2 linked regions of the Drosophila melanogaster genome follow. The protein of the gene in region 2 purifies or fractionates together with the protein of the main gene of each other region. This does not show direct contact. Each region holds a gene or a part of one and is shown on either strand. Other genes may lie near its edges.

The links.
Region 1: the proteins of pdm3 (region 2) and Rab8 purify together in Drosophila melanogaster (affinity purification with mass spectrometry, with the first as the bait; one large-scale study listed by BioGRID). This does not show direct contact.

The regions. Positions count from the first base shown.
Region 1 is NT_037436.4:19,869,235-19,881,878, forward strand, and holds the start of Rab8 (Rab8), read right to left. Parts: upstream 1,845-12,644; 5' UTR 1,271-1,844; coding exon 1,147-1,270; intron 325-1,146; exon of another isoform or gene 293-324; coding exon of another isoform or gene 274-292; intron 195-273; coding exon 134-194; intron 74-133; coding exon 1-73. Other genes in the region: Usp32 (ubiquitin specific protease 32), read left to right, coding at 2,160-2,220, 4,527-4,761, 4,829-5,105, 5,307-5,535, 5,599-6,458, 6,525-7,656, 7,730-8,032, 8,089-8,396 and 6 more.
Region 2 is NT_033778.4:8,321,149-8,333,792, reverse strand, and holds the start of pdm3 (pou domain motif 3), read right to left. Parts: upstream 6,304-12,644; 5' UTR 5,786-6,303; intron 1-5,785.

The sequences.
Region 1 (12,644 bases), on a different chromosome or scaffold from region 2:
CAGCATGATGCCCATGGCACCTCTGTAATAGGCCGTGGTGATTGTGCGAAAACGCTCCTGGCCGGCAGTGTCCCTGGAAAATGAATGGAGATATAGGTAATTAGAGAATACAGATGAATCGCCTAGTACTTACCATATCTGCAGCTTAATCTTCTTGTTATCTAATTCAATTGTTCTAATTTTAAAATCGATACCTGAAAAGAGAAAACAGATGAGCATATACACACATGTACGTTTGCTAATTAATTTAAATAATTTGGCAAGAGGCTAAACCTGTTTGGTCGGAACCCATGACATCGCAGCTAAAATAAGAGACGAAGAGAACCGAAATCCACAAACCACGCAATTAATTTAAACAATGTCGTTAAGTAAATGCCCCAAAATTGGAAGTGTCGCGATGAAAACGTGCCAAAAACGAAAATAAACAATTATTAGCCACGAGCAGAAATGGGAATCGCTCTACTTTTGTGTTTACAAGTACGGGAAAGTACAGTGTGCATGTCGAATATTATTGTGATTATTATTTTAATAAGCTTAAAATTACTAGCATAATCTGATTTAACTGCCACTTGAAGTTGTACTGATTATGATTCGAATTTATTAAAAAGTATTTGCTGTGTTTGGTAGAAAGGCTTCACTGTACTCGTACGGGAACAACTACTTGAATTCCCTCTGAGACTGGGCATGGGCCTGCTGGGTATATAATAGGGCATTCCCGATTTGGCGTGCGACGGTCAAGTCTCGCATCGGAACAATCCGGCTTCTGGGGCGATAAGAGCAGCGAAAGTACAAAGACTATGGGTACTCGGACTGAGTACTCATTTCTGATCGCTTTCCTATGCGGGTGTGAATCTCAGGGCGAGATAAGGCATCCGGATATATTCCTTACGGGAAAATCTTAATAAGCGCGAGAAATCAAACATGGTGGGAGTGCCCCTCCCATGGAAACAACAATATTTATGACAAATGCGCCCGGATGGGGCAGGAAATAAAAAAGAAAAGAGGCATTTAATGAGTCACTGGGCCAGAAGCTCGGATTTCCAATTGCGAATGAGTTCATGCGAACGAAGGTGTTATAATTAATAACCAAAAAAAAAAAAAAATTAAGAATCGGAAGACACGGTAAACGCGGATGATGACACTCACCTATTGTGGATATAAACGTTGTGTTGAAGGCGTCCTCAGAGAATCGGAAGAGGATGCAGGTCTTGCCCACTCCGGAGTCACCGATCAGGAGCAGTTTGAACAGATAGTCGTAGGTTTTGGCCATTTTGTGTGCTTTTGCGGTAGGATCACAGTATCTGGCCCGATAATAGTGCTTAGCTGGGGGTTAGGGTACGGGTTAAGGGTGATGATGCTCTGTACACGTCGTCGTCTCCTTAATCAACTGACTGACTTCCTCTCCGATTCTTGGCTAATAACACTAATCACGATTATGCCCCATGCGTGCCGTTTAGCGTATGTATGTACATATACACTATACCCAGACGTAACCGCACTAATCCACAATCTAATTGAATCGACTCGAATCGAAAACGTATAGTTTTTTCCTTCTCTCCGCAGCGCAGCTCTTTTTCTCTTGGGTGTGTGTGTTGTGTTTTCGATTTCGGAGCCGTGTCAAAAATGGCGACGTAGATTTAAGACCTTTTTGTTGTCTGTGCCCGAGTTTCGGATTTCGTGCGGCGGCTTTTCCGGTGGGCAAATGCAAAGGCGCTCGCTACGCGGTGCGAGTCTACGTTGGTTTGTTGTGAAAATTACGTGGAAATGAAGTTAATTACTGCTTTCTAATTACGCCCGTACAAAAAATATGAGTTTCGATAATTCGTTGCTGCGCAACACTGGCGCGCCGTCGTCTATCGATAGCTTATCGTACGATGGGGAAAACAGCTGTTTCCAGTTAGTGTTGGAAAGTGCGCGAATATAGAAAGAAACAGAGGAAAATAGCACAAGACAAGAGTCAAAAAGACAGGTGTATATTATATATTCATACACATATATCGTCGTGATCCTGCACCTGATCCTCGCCAGCAGCCTATTGTTCCGCCCGCGACTGTGAAGTGAAGTTGAACAAATGTGAAAAGTGGCGTCGCCAGACGCAGCAGCAGGCGGAGCCCCAGAATCCATTGAGTTGCACCCCCGCAAACAAGAAATTCTGGACCATGGGCACCAAGGAGTCCAAGCACTCCAATAGCGTCAGCTACGAGGATTCGGTGAAACGCGGTGAGTCTCCTCCGGCTGGTTACTTGTGGGGCCGTCTCCCAGCCGCAGAAAATAGGTCACTGCCAATCAAGAAAACAGAACCCCCTGCGAAAGCAACAACAACGTACAAGCAGGTGCAATCGATTCCATTGTGTTGTTGCGCCCACGTCTTCTGACCAACGGGAATCACCACTGACTTCCGCCACCACCATCCTCATGCTCCTCTTAATCCTATCTCTTGCAATTATCTACTGCCATTCCAGTGTGGCTTCTTTATTGCATGTGTTTTCATGTGCATGGGTATTTGCGTCTCCGCCGCCAATGACGTCACAATAGAAAAGCTAACCGAATGGGGTGGCAGTTGGAGGTGTGCGCTGTGTGGGTGAGAGACAACAAAGCAGCGAAGGCACATGAGAAACAGTTAGACAGCCAGTGGAGTGCAGTTCACGCTTAGGGTGACTGGAATGCGCGGATGCGGATGTCGCTGCGAATACGATTCATTTCAAGTTCAGCATGTCATTCCAGTGTTCATTTCAATTCGCACTCTATGGGCAAAGGTCTTCTGTTGAAGTATTTTATAAAGAAGCCTACTTTAAAATTTTTTTGTTTATAATGAAATGAAATTATAATGAAAGGGGAGCATTTTGGATTTCGATTTTCCAATTGGAATATCCATAAGAAAAATGTTTTAAAATAAATAATTCATTGGGCTTTTAATTCTGCATGTCATTTCCTTATTTCTTAAAATTCCTCTTTAAGTGGAATATGTTCAGATAGGAAAAGGAATTACTGTGTTTAAAACAAGCTGATAAGCCAAAAAAATAGAAATTTATTTACAAAGTATGAAAATCGGAATGTTCACTCTTCTCCAAATATTTTATAATAATGAACCAGCAATAAAATTGGTAATCATTCAGAAGAGTTAAGATTATTTAAGCCAACTTGTATACCCATTTTCGGCCCACTTTCAATGACGTTTAGCTTCCCTTAGTGCTTTTCACTTACTTTATTCCGCCTTCCCTTTGCGCTGGCAATCATCTAAATGCTGGTGTTGTTATGGTTATGGTTGCTGATTTGTGGCCAGGCGGCCCAGCCAGAGTTAAGAAAACGAGTGTCGCTGATAAGGCTCACTCCCCCGGAACACCAGCACTCCGGACCACCCCTCCACCACCCACCATCACTGGTGTGGGGCGTGCGACCGGGTGCGTGTGTTTCTTATTAGCCACTCCAACCGGTTCCAGTAAAACCAAGGGGGAAGTGAGGACTAGCATGCAAGTATGTGCGCGGTGGTCAATAATCGCAGACTCGAGTTGCAGTTAACATTCAATAAAATGCCGTTTCCGTGACGTCGCATAATTCGCCTGCAATATTGCCCAATCAACTTGGGAATGTATTTTCACGCCCGGTTTGGCGGTTATCAGTTGGCTCTGGGTTCTCAACCTGATCGTTGAAATTAAAATGGTTTATTTATTGTCAATTTAATTGCGCTTCTTGTGGCCTTTTATTTCCGACATTAAATAATCAACGTTATGAATTATAACGTTATGAACGGGGCATGAATGAAAATGGTTAAATAGGGAACATGTAGTACATTTAAGATGAAGTAACATGAATTAGCATACTATTGAGAATGCGCAACGATATTAACAAGAACATTTTGTTTCGTTTCTTATCATTTTCTGACTTAAGTGCTAAACGATTTTAAACTGTCGTATGTTATGCTGCTTTGATTCCACGGGAAATGATTCACAATTATTAAACAAATAAAATTAACTTTGTGTGGCGGACTTCGGGATACCCTCTTCATTTTTTAACTTATATATAATTTATCGTTTTAGGGCAAGAAATATTAGTTAAATTTTTTTTATTTGTTGATCATATGAAAACAGTCCTAAAATATAATTAATATAATTAATAATTATCGTTAAAGAACATAATATTCATGTTACCTTCTATTGGTTTGTGGGTAACCTTTTTGCACTTCAGGTAATTAGTGAAAAATCAATTACTGATAATGGTTAATTAGGTAACAACGAATCTAATACCATATGTAATGGAATTGGTAAATGAGCTCGGAAATAATGTTTATTGATATTATTATAATGTATATTATTAAACAATTAGAGCGAATGTATTTGAATTGGGTTTCCATACTGGAACATGTGTTCCCAATAATCAGTTTGTTATTGACAGCACGTCGGTTAGTGTGAAATCGAGGTCGTAAATCGCATCAAATGAGGGGGTTACCCGGCATACCGGCTATTAATTAAAGGCACATGGGATAATCCCTAACGCAGCATTACTCATTCACCGATTTTTTATTCCAGTAAGCGACGTAGAGCTTCGCCGCCTGAGAGATGCCTTCAAAAAGTCAGCGGGCGTGGGCAGGAACTTCCTCAGTCGGAATGCCTTTCAGCAGGATGTGCTGTGCGAGGGAGTGCCGCCAAAGATCGTGGACATGTTATATGCCGCCTGTGGTGGCACCCAGCGTGGCATCTCCTTTAACGACCTGCTCTGCGGTCTGGTCTTGATAACTCGTGGTACCCAAGCGGAGAAAACCAAGTGAGTGTGCCATAATGTGCAAGGCTGAATTGATTTTAGGTAACCCAACTACTTACTTTCGTTTTAGATTCCTGTGGAACCTGTACTGCAACGATGCCGGCACCTTCATCATCAAGTCGGACTATGTGCGCAACGTCAATCTGGCTCCCTTCGAGAGCGTCTCCCTATTCGCTCAAAGCGAACGCGTCAATTTCGAGCAGTTCCAGGACTGGATCATAAAGCATCGCAATGCCACTGTCCTCTCCAAATGGCTTCTGTCCGACAACTGTGTTAGCCTCACATCGGAGCTGGAGACGCCAACGTTTTACCAGAGCCTCGCTGGAGTGACGCATCTTGAGGAGAAGGTGAGCATCTGCAGCTGAGGCTGATAGAGCTTTGTAAACATATGCGAGCGAATCATTTCGTGGAAAATGCAATTTATAAATAATTTTCGCTTGGTTCCTCAACTGTTTTGTTATCCGCCACTCAATTTACCTCAATCGCCTCTCATTTGCGTTCTTACGTTTGACTAGTTCATACTGAAACCCCGTTCAATTCTTTTGCAGGACATTGGCGATTTGGAAAAGGAGTTTTGGCGTTTGAAAAACACTTCCCAAAATGGCCAAATCGACTTGCAGTTCCTGGGACCCCTGATCAGTCCACCCATACCAAAGAATGCTCTAGCAGGTCTATTCAACGCCTTTGATGAGAACCGCGACGGACACATCGACTTTAAGGAGCTGTGTTGCGGAGTAAGTGCCGCCTGCCGAGGACCGGGTGTGGAAAGGACACGATGTAAGTACTAAATACTTTTATCATTCCGCTATGATCAATTGAGTAACAAACGCCTACCCACAGTTTGCTTCAAAATCTTCGATGTGGATCGAGATGGCGTTCTTAGCCACGATGAAACACTGCAGATGATCAATGTTCTGCTATTAGTAGCCAAGGAAAATCAGGAGTCCCAGCAATACAAGGATCTGACCAAACAGCTGGTGATAAGTGATCTTCTGGAGTTTGGACAGAGAAGAAGTCCGGATGGAACGCCTAGTAAGCTAACCCGAGACAATGTCTCGCTGACCGCTGAGGATTTTATGCTGTGGACCGTACAGTGTGATCTAAGACTCATGCAGCCCTTGCTGGACCTCATCTTCGAGCTGTGCCACATCGTCTTTGGCCTGTGGCCCCAGTGCAAGCACATGGAGAACGATATCGTCCGGGGATGGTTGCGACGGGAGGAGCGCAGGCCGTACCGCGTTGGACAGTTTTGGTACTTGATCACGCATGACTGGTGGCTCAGTTGGATGCAATACACTCAGCACACGACGCACACCTGCGACTATTGCAAGCGAACCGCCAGCCAGCGGACCGCTGTTGATGAGGCGCTCGTCTGCGATGAGAGCTTTAACACCCACAGCTTGGAACAGCACGATAGCTACTCCCTGGGTTCTGGCACGGGATCGGCTTCCGGTTCCGGGTCGGCGAGTAGTGGCATCTCAGCTGGACGACATTGCGGACCCGTGCGACCAGGGCCTATTGACAACAGCAATCTGATCACCGCCAATCCGTTCCGGAATGTTCGAACTCTCACCGGCGAGGGTGGTCACCTCAAGCGGGACACACCCCTGGTGCAGAACCACGACTTTGAACTGGTGCCCAAGTCACTGTGGAAGGCATTGAATCGATGGTATGGCGATAATCTTCCACTGCCACGACAGGTAAGCAAAGAAAACTATTTAATAATCAGAAACGTTTACTTATGAACTTAATTTGTATTCCTCCAGGTCATCCAACCGCCCAACTCCGATGTGGAACTGGAGCTATACCCGCTGAACCTGCGAATCCTGCTCCACCAGGCGCAGCCATCCCAGACAGGCGTAGGCGGAGGCACTCAACTTGGTAGTTGGGGCTCCACGGTGAGCGGTGGCTACGGAGTGCTTGCCTCCGGTGGCGGATATGCCGCCATCGCTGTAAGCAGTGTACTCCAACCGCCGAAGCGATACTTGGCCTACACGGCTGCCTTCAGCCGACTGGCCACGGTGCGTCAGGTGGGCGAGTTTTTGTGCGAGCAACTGCGTCTTAAGTCAGAAGATATCCGGCTATGGCACGTTCCACAGCTGGACAACGGTGCCATATTGCTAGAAGAGGATGCCATGTGCCTGAAAGAGTTGCTCATTCGGGACAACGACCAGCTGTTGCTGGAAATCCGCAACAAAGATTTGACCTGGCCGGAGGAACTTGGCTCCTTGGCCACCGCTCAATGTGGCCAGGGTGCGGGAACACCGGGGGACCGGCGTCGCTTAACACGCAGTTCAATTATGTCGGTACATGCGCCCGGAGCTACAGGCCTGCACAACCTGGGCAACACCTGCTTCATGAACGCCGCTCTCCAGGTGCTGTTTAATACCCAACCACTGGCACAATACTTTCAGCGTGAGATGCATCGCTTCGAGGTGAACGCGGCCAACAAACTGGGCACAAAGGGTCAGCTAGCCATGCGCTATGCGGAGCTGCTCAAGGAGGTTTGGACGGCCACGACTAGATCTGTGGCCCCGCTGAAGCTACGCTTTTGTGTCAACAAGTATGCGCCGCAGTTCGCCGGTGGAGGTCAGCACGATTCCCAGGAGCTGCTCGAGTGGCTGTTGGACGCTCTGCATGAGGACCTTAACCGTGTGATGGAGAAACCGTACAGCGAGCTGAAGGACTCGAATGGGCGCCCAGACAAAATAGTGGCCGCCGAGGCCTGGTCCCAGCACCACGCCCGAAACCAGTCAATTATCATTGATCTGTTCTACGGCCAGTTGAAATCCAAGGTCAGCTGTCTGGGTTGTGGACACGAATCGGTGCGATTCGATCCGTTTAGTCTGCTCAGTTTGCCGCTTCCGGTAGAGAATTATATCTACTTTGAGGTCTTGGGTGAGTAAATCGTAGTTGAACCCAATACTTCTATGTTTATTATTGTACTTATTAATACTTTTCTTTTTTGTAGTTATTCTGTTGGATGGAAGCGTTCCAATCAAATATGGTTTTCGTCTGAACTCCGATTGCAAGTACTCGCACCTGAAACACAAGTTGTCCACCATGTGCTCCCTGCCTCCAAATCTAATGCTCGTCTGCGAGCTATGGAACTCACAAATACGCCAGGTGCTAAACGACGACGAGAAACTGCGGACGCAGAGTGCCAAGGAGCTGTACGTCTATCAGCTGCCGGAACAAAGTATGCGAACACGATCCAACTCAGGGCTTAGCATGCACATCGAGCAGGGTCTTAAGGACATACAGCGCAGTTCCGGTAAGCCACCCAATGATATAGCAGATGAATGTGTTTCTACACTTTTGAACTTTCAGCTCTCATCACGAGCGCCCAGGACTCGCTGTCCTCGCTGAGCACTTTGCAGACGTCCAGCCACCGCGCCTCGTCACGAGTCCTGTGCAACGGACACGTTTCGGGCCTGGATGTCGAAGGCGAGGCGGAGGTGGGCACGGATGTGTCGCAATGTAACAGCAACAGCAATTACAATCCTATTGTAAGCACTTACAGCGGAAACGGAAGCGGGGACAACCAGGTGCACGAACTGCTGCCAGATGAGGCCGGAAAGGTAAGCCGGTGCTTTGGAAAGAGAGAGTGCATGCCCCACAGCCTATTTTGCTTCAAGGTATGGCTTCTAAACTATATTAACATATACGTATTTAATATCATAGATTTACGCCCCATCTATTTGGGGCCATATCGAATTCTAAAATTCAGAGCTTCAGAACTTTCCTTGCCTAGGATAGCGAGCTTGCTCCTCAGCGGCGAAACTGCTGCTACTCTCGTATGATATATCGTCGGGTCGTCTTTGATTGCGAATGCGAGATCCGCCAAGAATCCGCCTCCGTCTGCTTCTCGATTGTCACTTTACAAGCGTTTAATCTAAATATATTAAATACACTATGTTAAATGAACAGTTGCCGTTTGCTGCGTGGTTTGTGGGCTTCCCTCTTATTTACTCAAATGTACTAGCATACTCTGTATATTCTCCCTACTTTCGTATTCGCACACTTTTACCAAATTGATATCAATTATTTGTAATATATACATCCTTCCTTCTACTAATCACTTACTTTGTTGCTGGCCTTATTCTATAACTAATGTAAATTATTTGCTTAAACCCAATCAAACACTGCGTATCACCTCTCGGCTATCCTTGGAAATCTCTTTGTTGTTGCTGGTTTTCAAGTTGGAAGCTTGTGAAATATTATTTTTCTAGTAGTTTTTGGTCACTCTCATAGCTTTGCGATGCCATATATCCATATATTGTGTTCGTTTTTAGAAAGTTTTGAGTATCCGAAAAGAAATACATTGTCTTAGCTTGTTTGTTAGATGTATTTTAATGTATTTTTGGATAAAAAGATCTATCTTTATGTATTCAAATTATAAAATTTCTTCGAAGATTTTAAAATTTTCGTCAATTTAATCTTAAAACTATTTTCAATTCCCATATCTTAAATGTCTTTGATGTAATTTTCCGTTATATTTAAAATTTGAGTAAAAAAAAAACAGGTTATCTTTCGAGACTTGTATGAAACCTAAAACAATTTAATTAAATAGCTACTGTTTTACACTCCACCGCCCTCACTAAACAACTAAAAAGAACCAACAAGTTAATTAAAACACGTGCCATAAACAATTTATACATTTTAAAGTTGTTTTAGAGTTTTAGCGTTTACCCTATAGCTATTTTGTAAATTTGAAAGTAGATTGTTCCATGGTTAATATAGCTCCCAAAGCTTCAATTCACGACTACACCCACCTAGTCCCTTTAATAACTAACCCCGTATCAGCACAACTTAAGTCTAATACCAACTCTCGGTGCAGGAGTCGCTAATTCTGAGCTCCAGCCCGGAGAACACATTTATGCACGGCGCTGCCGCCCAACAGAAGCGCGTATCGTCCGCCAAGCTGCTGCACACGGAGAGTAATACCAGCTCCATGTCCTACACGAATCATTCCGGCGAAAATTCCATGGAGAGCTCGCTGACCGAACCCATTCCATTGGCGGACCTGGAGCCGGTTAGCAGCCGTAATGGCAGTGGCGGCGAGGACTGCTCCTACCGGACGTCGCCAAACGATTCCAGTGGCCTCAGCACGGGCCACACCCTGGGCGCCAGTTTGGACGTGGACGAGCAGGCGGAAGAGGGCAACGCGGAGGATCACGATCAGCCGGATCAGATCACAACCTCGCAGCCGGAGACCAGTAGCGGGGTCTACTCTCGTCGCTCCTCCCAGCCGCCGCACAAGGCGGGCAAGTATTTGGTAGCCGTACATCGAAAGATAACGCGGCATGACAGCTACTTCCTGTCCTACCACAAGACGAGACCAAGTCTCTTTGGCGTTCCGCTGCTCATTCCAAACAGCGAGGGTGGCACCCACAAGGATCTTTACTGCGCCGTGTGGCTGCAGGTGAGCAGGCTACTCAGCCCATTGCCTGCCACCACGGAACAGGCGAATCATGCCGCCGATTGGTGAGTATTTCCACTTGCTTGCTGCTTTTGTTTACTGATCTTGTGTATATACGCAGTGATGACAGCCTGGGCTACGATTTCCCCTTCACGTTGCGTGCCGTCAAGGCAGATGGTCTAACCTGCGCTATTTGCCCTTGGTCAAGCTTCTGTCGCGGATGCGAGATTCGATGCAACAATGATTATGTACTCCAGGGAGCCCTGCCGCCCATCAATGCCGCCGCCAGTGCGTAGAGACCTTAAAATCCGCTTGCCGTTGCTAGAAATAAACATTCTACTTTCACTTTCAGGTAATACATCAACGCCAAAAATGAATGCTAAATTCCCATCGCTACCAAATCTGGAGGCTAAACGGACGCCGGAATATACCGCCTCCTTGTCGTACACACCGACAACCAAATACTTTGAAGACTTCACCATTGCCATCGACTGGGATCCGACCGCCCTGCACTTGCGCTACCAAAGCACCTTGGAGCGTGTATGTAGACTCGGCATTATTTTGTCCACGGGATACTTATATTTGTAATTGTTTAGCTGTGGGTGGATCACGAGACCATTGCCATAAGTCGGCGGGAGCAAGTGGAGCCCGTAGACCTGAATCATTGCCTGCGCGCCTTCACCTCGGAGGAGAAACTGGAGCAGTGGTATCACTGCAGTCATTGCAAGGGCAAAAAACCCGCCACCAAGAAGCTCCAGATCTGGAAGCTACCTCCGATATTGGTAAGCCAGGCCTAATGGCCAATTGCCTAGTGAAATTTTATTGATAATTTCTATTCCTCAGATTGTTCACTTGAAGCGGTTTAACTGCGTCAACGGCAAATGGGTGAAGTCACAGAAAGTGGTCCACTTTCCTTTCGATGACTTCGATCCTACTCCGTATCTGGCCTCAGTCCCTCAGGAGACGATACTGCGGCACAAGGAGCTGCTGGAGCTAAAGAATGATGCAGAAATGACGATGGCAACTAACGAAGTTGTTAGCGAATTGGACGAGATTGATGCACCCAGTAAGGAGGTTAAGGAAGAACTACCCAATCAAACGGGGTCCACAAAGGCTACGGCGTCGCCACCGCCCACAGGGAATATTCTGCGCCAGAGCAAGACCAAAAATGCTGTCCGGCGACAACGCCTCATCTCTACGAGTCTCACAAAAACGCCTATCGTTGATGGCGAGTTCGAAGACTATCACCAACACCGACTTAAACCAGATGTGGATCAGTTCGATCCCAGATACCGACTCTATGCTGTTGTGGTGGGTGTAGCCTATGCCTTTAATCCTCCTGATTGTGTGATAACCTTATATCTTGTTTTGTAGTCTCACTCGGGCATGCTGAACGGAGGTCACTACATTTCCTATGCTTCGAATGCAACTGGTTCCTGGTACTGCTATAACGACAGCTCCTGCCGCGAAATATCCCAGAAGCCGGTCATCGATCCAAGTGCTGCATATCTGCTGTTCTACGAACGCAAGGGCCTGGACTACGAGCCTTACCTACCGAACATCGAGGGACGGACGCTGCCCAATACCGCCAGTGTGCCACTCGAGGTGGACGAGACCGAGGGAGAGCTGAAGAAGCTGTGCTCAATTTCCTAACTGATGTCGTGGACATCGCGGCTATGAAGATATATTTTTCCATTTTATGCGTTCTGTTCTAGAGGGTTTGTGTTTTGTTTCGAACCGCTTATATTTTGTTATTTACTATTCTAAGCCTATTTTGATTTTCTGCAATAGTTGATTAATTATCCCCTAATTAGTTTTAGGACGAATTATTTTTCTTTGCCGAGAATTGTGTAATGCATGTAATATACAATATTCATATTTAGCTTGTAGATGATATGTTATATTGGTTGGCCAATGTGGAGCTTAGGTTGTTACGCCGAACAAATCCATTCTCAATAGTTTCTTGTTGCTTTGTTTTTGTTGTATATAATTTAAACATTTTAATTGTATTAGGCCAGCTTGGCCAGTTTATTATTATTTATGCCAGACCATGTCGTGGAATTCCATTTAATTTGTAATTATTAATGTAAATAACAAGCGGAAGTGAAACACGAACGGCTAAACGTTATGGACAGTTTGATATTATCCATTGATTGATCAGCAATATCAAGATGTTACGAATTTCATCCAAAAACTCGCAGACTATTGTTGCTCTACTCATACGTATTTACATGTATTGATTGGCTTGTGTGACGCGCCGAGCAGATTCGGTTCGAAATTAGTATTGCGCTTATCAATTATGACTTCAATATGTCTAATGATTATGTATTTGATATTTACAAATTATATATATACACCCACAGATATATATATATATATATATATATATATATATACATGCGGAACTTAACTAATTTATATTAACATACATGAACATGATGATATATTCGAAACGAAAAGCTAT
Region 2 (12,644 bases):
GGGCTGGGGCGTAAAATCCACCCCATGAAGCAGACCAGGCAGCTCAGACCAGACCCCCAATCCGAAATTCAGAGAACAAAAAAAGAGTGCCACAAGCTAACAGAACGAAAGCCAGAACAAAGTTTCGAAAAGTCGCTGCCAAGTGCCGACGGCAAATGGAGACGTAACCCAAACTCCGGCAAATCTTGGGAAACATTTAACGGATTTTCTGAGGGGGCGTTAGTCGTTTTACATGCATTATCCTGGCCAGAAACCAAAAGCGCTACAAAAAAAAGTGTTGACATTAAAATAATAATTTTAATTGCCTCAAATAACACAAAGGTCGGCGGTGACCCTCGGACAAGGATGCAGCACAACCGAGCTCTGGGAATGTGTGAGCGGGGTCTGTTCAAACACAAAGGGTAATTAACATTTTTCTTTTCGTCCGGGTCCTGGCCGAAGGATAAGCAGCTTGTTTAGCCCGGCCAAAGTCAAATGAGCAAAAAAATACAAATGGCAACGGAGCACAAAAAGGACCCGGCACACACATTACGTGGGTTCGTATGGGAGTTCCTTTTTTGCGGTTTCGCATTTGGTTTAACTTAGCTGGTAAGTACACCCCCAGGTTCTTGGGTGGCCCCCCGGAATCTGGAATCTGGATTTACGTTTCTGGATGCGGGATTCAGGATTCAGTCGACCGCCTTTCAACACCTTCAACAAAGCGTGAATTAAGTGCTCGAGATTTTCTACACTTAATACAACAAATTTACAGCGGCTCCGTGCAACATGTGGCATGCCCCTTCCCTCGTCACCCTGCCTCGCCGCACTCCTCACTCCGTCGAGCTAATTGCGCAATTATCTCGTTTTGTGGAACATCTGTGCAACTGTGTCGCGTCTCATTAAGTGCGATCTGACTGCTCAAATGCCCAGAGGGCCGTGCGGACGGACAGTTGGAAAGAAATTTTTTAATTGCATTTAATTAACAATAAGTTAACGAAAAACACTGAAACGAAACATTAAATTAGCTGAAACTTAGACCGAAATTCCTGATCTGCAAAGAGGAATGAGTGGTTGACTGTGCCATGCTTGGTGATAAATCTATCTGAAACTACAATAGGGCTCAATTTTAATATTATCCATAGGTTGGGATAAAAAAAAAAACAATGAACAAGATGTTAATGTATCTTAGGATATTCAAAGGAAATCAAAAGAAACTAACTCCAATTGATAAGCAAGAAAACGCTAGAATTGGAATAATATTATTTTTCTAGCCCTTAGAATCAATTATGCTTCGACTCGAAACTCGAATTTGTCTATCGGCATAATTACCCAAACACGACAGAGTCGCATTACAGCTATCGTTTATCTGGCATCTTTGACAATCCATCCATCAAGCATGATTGAATCCGCAGAACAACCCCGAATTTCCGAGTTTAGTTCCTCGGCATTCCATTTCCATACTGCGATACACGCAATGGCAATGCGGTAAAGTAGTGTTTTTAATGGCTAATTGAGCAAAATAGCTTATGGAATAGAATTAATTATAGTGTTTCATGTTTTCGGACTACGAAAATTCGGCCTGTTTCACTTAGCTCCTCATTGTTCACGCAAAAGCATAAATTGTTTAATTGCTAATTAAGAATAGGAAACGGGCAACAAACGATAAATGTAATGAATTAGAAGGCGAATCGAAGGCAGTTGACATTACTTCAGTTCTAGCGTGTGACAATTCGCATTAATTACAAGAAATGCTCCAAAAAATAAGCCATTAAGCGGGGCCATTCGACTATATAGACGATTTCTGTTGGTGACGGGAGGGGATTTGAGGGACTCCGAAATGGCGAAATGAAAGTGCGGAGATCCCCCGACTTGCCGCATTTGGCGTGTTTTAGGCTGCTGGCGCAGTTGCTGCTTGGACACTTGTGACATTTTCTTAATTGAAATGATGCGCGTTCGTTGATAAAATTTCGTTGCCTCCATATACGAGGGTCTATACGAGAAATGTGCTCATATAAGTACGGAGCCACTTGGACACTCTCCTGCACGTTTTGCTGATGATTATTATTACTCTTCATTATTGTTCATTATTAAATGAGCGGCGTGTGTGCGTGTCTTTCGCTTTTGTGTAGGCTCTGTGGCATGCGCGGCATGCAACATCTTATTTTGGTGGGTCGGCGAAAAGTGAGCCAATCCTCGCCAGATCGTCTCCAAATGGAATCGCTCAGAGAAGCGATGTTAAGCGAAATAATTGGGGATAGTGTAAGCACGCGGCACTCGGGAATGCGATCTTTGTCCCACATATTTAGTGCAAACAATGATAATAATCAAAAGCAATGATAATAATAATAATAACAATAGTATTTATGAAACTGAAGAAGATCTACTAGTATCTAAATGAAAATTCTAATGTACTTAAATCGATAGCATAACATACAAAATACTTTCATAAATAGTCATGCGTTATATACTGTAAAATCCCAAATAAGAAGACTTTACTCGTTGAGTTTTTGTAAGAAACTGATTTTATTTGGAAATATCTTCGGTTTAAATAGGTGACATGAGAATCGCATCTTAAAGTAAATGGCCTACGCAGAGGCCTAAGTAAATAGTCCCCGCCTTATCGAGGTCCCACGCTCGGGCACATCTGCCTATCTTGAGCGGCGAGGACCTTATCTGTGGTCTCCCACTAAGGGACTATTTTAGGAGGCGGGGAACGATCTCAAGTGACTGACTCATGTAGTGTGCACTTAAATTACATGTTTTTGAGCAATGCACCCATGTCGCCTTAGATAACAAAATCCTAAATATAATTTATCGCTCTCGATTCATTTACATAAGATATGAACGGAGCCCAAAATTGTAAGTCTTTAAATATATTCGTGTTCATGTGTGAACATATACAAATACAAAATCTACAATTATGGTCGGTTGTGCAATGCATTTTCGATTGCAATGGCAGTCGGAGAAACGCACTTCCTGCATTTTTGCCACCCTGCCTGTTTTAGGGCAATAAAATCTCATTTTATGTGTGCGCAAGTTTGCAAATTGGCCACACATCAAAAACAGAAGTGAAATCCTTTCAAGATGCCCGGCCCGCCCCGAACTCGCCTCATTTGGCCAACTTCAATGCCTTTGCGGGGCATAATTATTACTTTAATTATGCTTAATTAAAAGGCCGCCCACCGGAGGCGTGGCCGCGGCAGCTGTCCAAAATGCACGGCACATAATTAAGCGTTTTGCTTTGCGGATTTTCTTTCATTCATTTTTACGATTTGCCTACGTAAAGTGACAACGTGACGCGATGGTTGGATATGTGTATCTTTTCTAGTTTTTGTTTTTTTTTTTTTGTTTGCGGGGTTACGGGGGAAATTGCAATTCTCCGCTGGCTTTTGGTTGTTTTTAATGAGTGTGTGTGGTGTGTGGTGGTCGCCTCCTTGTTGATTTGTCCGCAGTCGGTTTGTTGTTTTCCCGCTTCTGGTGCCGCTGCATTTTTATGCGTTCGTCATCCGTTTGTCATAAAAAAGAAACATCCACTGCAGCAACATTTAATTTTTAATTTAATATCTAATCATTTTCCGTCGTCGTTGATTTTCTTTTTCACAGCTATATGTGCATTAAAAGCTGTCGCGATGCATTTGGCCACTAATGGGTTTTTCTAATTTGCCGAGACTGCCACTTCGAATAGTAAAAATCCTTCAGTCAATTTAATGAGATATTTCACTTTCGCAATCAAAGGAAGCCGAAATCGTAAATATTAAGTAACTAACATTCATCGTAAGTAGAAGATTACAATTTGAAGTGGAATCAAAGGCATTTGTCGGATCGCAGCCTATAAAATGCCGACGGCTTTTTCTGAGCACTTGCATTTAACTCATAGATATCACGATTTCTAAACACTGGTCTTAGCTTTAATACTTGAAGATTTGTTTATAATTAAAGAACCGAAATGTTTATAGAAACCATTTAACTGCAACAGTACTTTACTTTATTATAAAAGTCAGAGTTGGTTGTTGCATAATTCGATAGGGATTTGAAGCTATCAATTTATGTAACATAAGTTACTTAATAAACCAAATTTCAACAAACAATACAGTGCATAATGGAAAAATGTATGATATGAACTTTACAAGATCTTCAAAATCATGCGTGAAGATATCTAATGTAATTTGTGCATTGAAACCTGCGCTCAAGTACGTGGAAACCTTAAAGATAAATACCAGCTCATTGGGCCACAGTATGCACCCGCTGAATGTCATTCCAGAGTTTGGCCAATGCATCTGTGGGGGCCAGTGCAACTGCGAGCCCAGTTAATTCTCGCTAAATAATTGCCAACGATAACGAGGCGTGTGTAATGTGTAGTTGGGAGCAGGGCAATGGCAATAGCTAACTCTGCTTGGCAACGACAATGGAGCAGGCAACAAAGAGGCTAAATTCTGTATTAATTTGCAATTAATGCAGCTAATTATATTTAATTAAATGAGCGGGCCACGCTAACAATGCACTGCATAGATACGTTTTCTACTCGGATGCCGATGAGGGAAGGGCGGTGGGATCTGCGGGATCGCTGGGATCGGTTGAATCGGTGGAAACGGCGGCGGCAGCAGGGATCCAAAGTGGAGCTGAGGGGAGGGGAATCCAAGCAGAGCTTGGACAGTGGGAAAAATGTAGCGCAGGTTGGTGCGGCTTTGAAATGAAACTGATTATTACAATTGTTGTTACGCCCGCTGGCGCTGTTGTTAGTGCGAATTGTGCGCCGCTGCTGCTGTTTATTGTATCTCATAGATACGTTTAGATTATTTTTTGCAAAAATGACACTGAGCCACCGGCAAGTCAATTGTAATACGTTTTAGTAATTTTTCGTGGGGTGGCAGCAGTCGCAAGGCTCAGCACATTAAACTATTTATGTGTAGAGTTTCATTCTGATTTCGTTTTAGCGATCGTTTGATGAGCCTCATTGTTGCAAATTGCCACTGTCCACTGCCGTCGAGCCGTATTATTAGTTTGTTTGTGGCTATTTATTATATTTGGTTTTATTATTAGAACGTCGCAACTATTTTTGAGACCCTCGCCAAGTTTGCTCATGCACATGCCCCCATGCTCATGCCGGTCCAACGATAATGCTGATGTTGATAAAATTAACGTTAATTAAAGTTATTAACCGCCTGCAGCGAAATCGCATCAATTTATTGGTTTTTGCATACTACCATGTCAGGGTTGAGATTTACATAAAAACTGCATTTGGCTGTTTCGAGCAATATTCGAGTGAGTGGAGTGCGTGAGAGGCTAAAAAGGTTTGATATTTCTAACTTGATAATGATGATGAGCACTTCACTTAAATGTCTTTTTTTATTGCAGCCCCATTATTTAGCTTACCATTTTGGGTTGAGTAGCTGCCATAACGTTCAGCCATGCAGATTTTTTAAGCTTTGTAATAAGCCGGAAATTTTGAGATTTATTTAAATATTTCCGAAATTCATCCGCTAAAATGTCCAACCACTGACACACGTAAAAATTTGGCGTATGGAAATTTTATCAAATCAGAAATATATATAAAAGTTTTAAAATTACTTTTATTATGATATTACAATTAATTTTAGTAAATCAATTATATACATGTGAATATATATATATGTGAAAAAAACTGTTTCAGACTATTGGGAAGACCATTTATAATTACTTTAATACCTCTAAAATTTGGTTCCCATAAAAGATTTTAAACTGATGATAGTCAATTGCATGATATACTTCTTCAAAACATATAATATAAATTCACAAGAGCTTAAATCAAGTACTTTGAGATATTTACCGTTATTTACAGATTCGCAAGCTGTTGCCAAAATCAACGAAAGAGTTTTTATGTTCCACTAGCTTTTCCTGAATCCTGTTTTTCATTCACCTTTTAATGGTCGTTTGGTTTTGATGTGTAATTTCTTAACTCTTATCACAATTGAGCACTGTATTCAAAGTATTCATGAGTACCTATGAGTGTAGCAACGAGTATCTGACAGATGGTTATCACCCACGCACTTCAGATGAGACGATCGCAACGCGCCAAAAATTCGGAACTGAGTAGTTTCGAAACGGATTCAAAAATCGCGGAGCAACGGCTGTACAAAACACATGGGGCTCAAAAGTTGCAGTGGCAGCTGTTAAAGATGAATCGTGGGCACACGCCGAAGTTTATTTGCTTGGGTATTGTATGTTGCACTTTGGTTGTTTGTTTGTTGCACGAGTCGAGGGGCGTCCAAGATATATGTGGCCGTTCAATGCGATTCCGGTTCAGATCAGCCGTCGTACGTTCAGGCGCAGCGTCGTCCGTCGACTGAATGAACGTGTGGCGCACGAGCGGCGCTTTGGACCCCCAGCAATCGCAATCATCAGCATAAGTAGCAACAGCAAAGGAGCAGCAGCAACAACAGCAGCAACAACATCGGCAAACACGAGCAAACAAAACGAAGGCGAGGAACCCGAAGCCGCAGGCCCAGCTCAGCGGGTGCGAGCGAGAAAGCGACCGGGGTCTCTCTCACTCACTGCCTCTCGTTCTCTCTCGCTCTGGCTCTCTCTCTGTCGCTCTCTCGCCCACCCCCTAGCCCAAGCCCCACTGGCGGTGCAGCGACGCCGGCAGAGCGCCGACTGCGCAGGAGCAGCAACGGTATATATGCAATTTGCTTGGCACTGTTAAAATAAAAATAATGACGTCATTAAGCGCACAAATGAGCGGCGCTGCTGCTGCAGTCGACGTCGACAGCGCTGCCGGCGCAGACTGAGCTTATAACTGTTGTTCTGAGAAGGAGAAGTTGCACACTTGACGAAAGGCGAGCACTTAACGACGGCGAGGCAGAGATAGAAAGAGAAGGAGAGCGGTCGCGCGAGGGAGAGGGCGCGAGTGTGGGTGAGCGCTTTTGTGAGCGCATTTTGAGCATTTATTACAGCTAAACATTGCACTTTTTACACCGAACGGTGGGAGCGCATTTAGATTCTACATACATATCTTTGGAGATTTGCAAAATAATATTCAAAATCTTTAAACTGTTTGACATAATTTTAAATCCACTTGTACAAATTAACAATGCTTAATTATAATGGAAAAGTAGGAAGTCACCGCAATTTAAAAATCAATAAAATTTATTTTTATTTTTCATTTTATCGTACCAATTTAGAAACTTAATTATGATTTTCTTAATAAATGCCACAACCTCTCTCAACACACAACAACTTAGAATTTATTTTAAGCTTCAGAGGAAATTGTTGGATAAACCAAACCTGTGATATGCATCACAAGACGACTTGTCAAATGCCCCGAAATTTCACCCCAGCTCGACCCCTCGACAACTATTGCTGGGAATTAATAATTTAGGTCTCGATCCGCAGAGCAGAGCCAATGCCAAAAGCTCCAGTCACTCAGCTCGTCGGTCAAAACCCCACTCGAAGCCCAGAACCCTCTTGCTACCACTCCAGCCCTCCGTCCACCGTCCTCCAACTCCCACCCACCCACAATGTGACGTGTGCCGGGTCTAGTGAACCACACCCCTCCGCCCCTTTTGCAACGGCTCGAACCGCTTCCAGAAAACCGAAAAGTGCCAATAAATATGGAAACGTTTTGCCTTGTTCTGCCCACTCTTCCTCCCACTCTTCCACCCAATTCTCTGCCATCCCTCTCTGCCACGTCTTCTGCTCCTTCTTCGGCACTCTTTCATCTCCACTGGCAAAAACTTTACCAAATTTCAATTCAATTTATAAGAAAGGCGGTTCTCACTTTGGGTAACATAAAAAGAACGTGATAATTAGATCCAAATTACAAAAACATTAATTTCATAAAATTAAATTTTAAATTTTCACATTAGTTAAATTAGTAACTAATATATTTTATTTTTATTTTATTAATTTATAAATTGGATACTACTGATATTATTGATTGCACGTAGGTTACTATACCTTTTATTCTCCATATAATACACTGTAATAATTACGTGTACATATATTTTCTTTTTATCAACACTAACAATCATAAATTTTTTAGGTGTATCCTTGCTCCTTGGCTACCTTTGCACTAATTCACATTTGATGTTTTGTTGTCTGCGCTTGTTGCCGTTGCCGCTTGCATTTTTCTGGTCAATGAGGTTACAGTCAAGTCACTAGACAAGCCCCCGCCGCAGTCCGCCCCCCTTCCCACCCCTCCAGGGGGCAGAAGATGCAGCAGCGACCGACCGGTGCGGTCTACAACCGGTCGAGGCTGTCGGTCAGTCGAGGCTGCCAAACGGGCTGCCCCTGCCGATTCCGTCGCCGTCTGTCCACCAGTCTAGCCACCCACCCGCTTCGACGACTATCGGAGGTGTCGATGACGTCGTAGTCGTAGAGTCGTCGTCTGGCTGAAAGCCCCTTGAAAACCCCCCAAGGCCCCAAAGTCCCGGCCAGCCTCCCCCAAAAGCAGAATCTGACTGCAACTGCCTACGCCATTTGATGATTTTGTTGTTGCCCCTCCTAATGTGATTTGCTAGGGTATGCACTTAGGCCTGTTCGGCTGTTCGGCGATTGCCCAGATTCCGATGCGAATATCATGCTCATGATCAAAAGGGTAGAGTACGAAGATCAACTCGATCCGAACGAGATCAGTCATACATTTAACTGGAGAATACCCTCTTTTTTTTACCAATTTTAAACGTATAGCTATGCTGGTTTCTGATGTAATACTAATGCTTATTACATTACATATAAACTCAATTAGTGGTAGCTATATTCCCGAAGAGTATTCCCAATTCGCACATCTTAAAAATGTTTTGCTGGCTGATTTTGTTTTTAGTAGCCAATTTTGGTCAATATTTAAGTGCCGCTTGATGCTTCCACTTCGACGGGCACTTCACTGTTTTGTTACCCGGTGTCTAGGCCTGGTCCACATCTCCTCATCAACTTAATTTTCAGAATTTTCACTCGGACCCCGCTCGCTTCGACCCTGACTCTCTCTCTCTCTCTCTCACTCCCTCGCCCCGTCTTTGTCTTTCCCGTCTAATTTGGTGCTGCATTTTACCGGCAGCTATAAAGCATATTACCGTTAAATGTTGCACTGTCGACTTGTCGTCTAATTTACTTCACCCGTGAGGGAAATGGGTGGCGAAAAGTGGGCGGTGGGCAGTGGGTGGGGTGGCACTGCGGCCGAGGATGCGGATGCGGATGCAGTGGGGCCACTGCCCACTTTCCATCTTGGCTTGATTGTCATTGCAGCTCGTCGGTCTGGCCGGCAAACTGATTAAATTCAGCACGCGCCCTGCGGGCATCTTGGGAAACTTCTTCCCCAGCAGGACGAGATGCCCCAAAAGGGGTTTAAAGGGGGCCGGGGGGGTCGTATGCACATGAAAAAATTGAATGCTACCTTCTACTCTAAAAAACACTACTGTCCATTATAGTTGACTTCTAAATAACAGGCACGTATAAATGCTTTTAGCAAATTAGAAATTGAATAGCACTCTGATATTATAGGAAAATATACTTTTATACACCTTTATAGATATAATGATATATGATATTAAGGATATATTTGCTGTGTAGAAAAGGAGGTTGCTGCCGGAGCGTGGTGGTAACTCAAAGTCATCAGCTTAGACGGGCCAGAAACTAGACGCTCTACATAAATTTGAAATTAACGTTTTCTAGCACATTGTCCGTCTACCTCTCTCTTTCGCTCGCCTCTCCCCATCCCTTTCTGGTAAGCCCCCCTCTCTCTTTCTCTCTCAGGCGCTTACATGCTTTCTGTAATTATCATTTGCCAGTCCGTTTGCCTTGGAACACACACGCGGACCAGCGTCTTGGCTTGATCTAAACTTGGCTTTCGGGCGTACTCTATTGCCCCTCCCCCTCTTCCGCAGACCGCCCGTAATTAAATGCAAATCTCCCGTCCCCGACTGCGTCAAATATATGGTCGTAGTGCCGAGGGGCAAACTGTGTCCAGATTTTCAGCAACGTTCCGAAACTTGTCAGCACCGCTCGGCGGTGCAAGAAAAATGAAGTGAAATACTCGAACGTGTATAAACCAAACAACATTAAAATTATCGCCTAGACAAGCCATAAAGACTTGGAGCTAAAGGATCGCCCCCGACACCGGATCAGAGATACCCTAAATCCATTCTTTTGCAGAAACAAAAATATTACTATCCCATTTAAATATTCTTTATTAAGCATTAATAACTTCTGGTGATATTTATATATGTATTTATCCTCAGAAATAAGATTAAATAGCATATATAGATAGATTTTGCGGCCAGAGACAGAGATGAAAGATGCAATGACAGAGAGGGGAGAGTAATTAAGAGCGCGCCAACTTTTTAGCTTTGTTGGATGGCTCTCGTTGAAATGGCTGCTAATTACAAAAGGCATCCTGGCCAGCATCATTTGAGATATTTTTCCATTAACCGGCGACGGCGTCGTCATGCCCATGAAGCTATAGGATTGCGGCGGGGACTCGAAGGGGTCGGTGCATACAAAACATATTAAAATTAACCTGATTACTCCGCAGGCGCTGCCAGCGCTCAGATTGTGGGATTGGAGTCGTGTATGTGTGCATGTGTAGCTGGACTTGGAGGAGTTTTGAAAGCCAGGCACAAACTAATTTCAAATAACATAATTCATTCGCTTAGCCAACGGGAATGGGGTGGGGAATGAGGGGTTAGGGGATTGGGGGCCTTGGCATCAAGAAAAAGACGGCAGCAGCTCTTGGTCTTGGCCAAGACACCCCGACCGGTTTCTTCGGGAGCACCAAATAAGTTGAAGTTTAATCACAAGCCACTGAGAGCGGAGAATGTGAAAAATGTACAGGAAAAATACATTAATTTTATTAAACTTTATTTAAAAATCATTTAAAAGGCGATCTTTTATAATTTTATGATTTTATAATTTGATATTCTTCTATGTAATTGTTGAAAGGGTGCAGAATCGTTGGAAATGTGTAACGATTCCACGGAAGTTATATTTAAGACTTTGGCATTTGGCTTCATACAATGTATATTCTAAAATAATTACATTTCAGTATGTTGTTTATGCTAAAGATTTTTATAGTTTTTCTCTGTGAAGGCGGCAATTTACAGGCACCAAACAAAGACTCCAGCTGTCATAACAGAGAGAAGGACGGGACTATCACACAAGAGAAAGAGAGAGAGAGAGTGAGTGAGAGGGAGAGGGAGAAGCGCAGATTGGTGTGCGAATGCGGAAGGTGCTAACTGACAAATGAATGGACTCCGGCTCCAACCGTACGAATGCTAATTGTTATTGTACTTAAACCTGAAGCCTTCCGCCTGCCCCTTCGTCCACCGGTCCCACATCCCTGCTTCCATTATCCCCATTCCCTACAGCATTCCTTGCCAAACATGTCCACAAACTATGCGTCGTCTGCAATAATTTCGCGCGCATAAAAATTTAATATTATTGAATTTTTATTATAGCATTCTACCTTACTTTAACCATTGCTGTTGCTGCCCAGACACAATAATCGAAACAACAGCATCAATACGGCCAACTGTAACAGCAACTGCATTAAAAAGAACCCAAAGGCTACACGGAAGCCTGCCGATGCCACAGTGGGTTGGATCATAGTCTATCATGGGGGTTATATAAGGCCAAGAACTAATCTTTATTTTTTAATTTATTTTAAAATTTAAATATACAGGAAGTATGAATGTGGGATCCATTGGTATTTTTTAAATATCTTTTAGCAATAAACTGTAACTGACTTAGGCAGCATTTTAAAAATTCTTCGGATTTGTTTATATTTTGCATATGAACCTACAAAATTCGATAACATTCCAAAAGTAATTCTATGTTATCAATTTGGCTTCAGAAATCCAAACGCTTCATCCCACTGTGCACAGAGTTGCCTCGCGCAGCTTGTGCCTCAAGTGGCGTACTTAATGCCATTCGAATTATGCGCATGCGTCCCCTTGGAGGACGTGGCTCTGAAGCCTGGACCTGAGCCTCAGCCTTTCGCGAGGAGGCAGACTCCAATGCCCTTGCACCGCCCATTCTTCCAGAACGACGCCTCAGAGATCCACCAAAGCCAGCACCACCCTGGTACGTGGTAATTTTGTAATATCGTAAAGTATTTTTTAATTGAACGCACCACCTTCGGCACACTCATAGAGCGGGCTTTACGAGGCCTACGAGGCTCTCTGAACCGGTGGCTGCTCTTTGGGCTTTGTCAACTCTGGGGTCTAGAGTCTAGACGACGCAGTGCTGCAGTCAAGCTGGTGGTGGCAACCCTGGAGCCAGCCCACTTTTATGACTCACTTCCTTTTTGGGTGATTTATGGGAACGCGAATGCCTCTCTGCCGGCATTAAAATTAGCTCTAATTATGAGAGTGGATCGGAACGCAGCCAATTAAAAGTGCATTTCCCGCCAGCATAAATCAATAAAAGATTTATGTGACTCTGCCTATAGATGGGTATAATTTTAATGATTAGTCGCGAGCACATTTGGCGTTTTGCATAACCTTTGGCAGCCTTCTATCTTTTGCCAGGTCTTCGCCAGCATTTCTTTTATTTTTCGGCCATTCGGAACGGGTCTGGGCCATTCATTCCGCATTCATTCATGGGCGAGCCAGATCGGCTCAACCTGGCAAAGCTTGGGATCGGAGCGGATCGCATCGGATAGGATCGGATCGGAGGTAACCTGTTCCTGTTCCCCA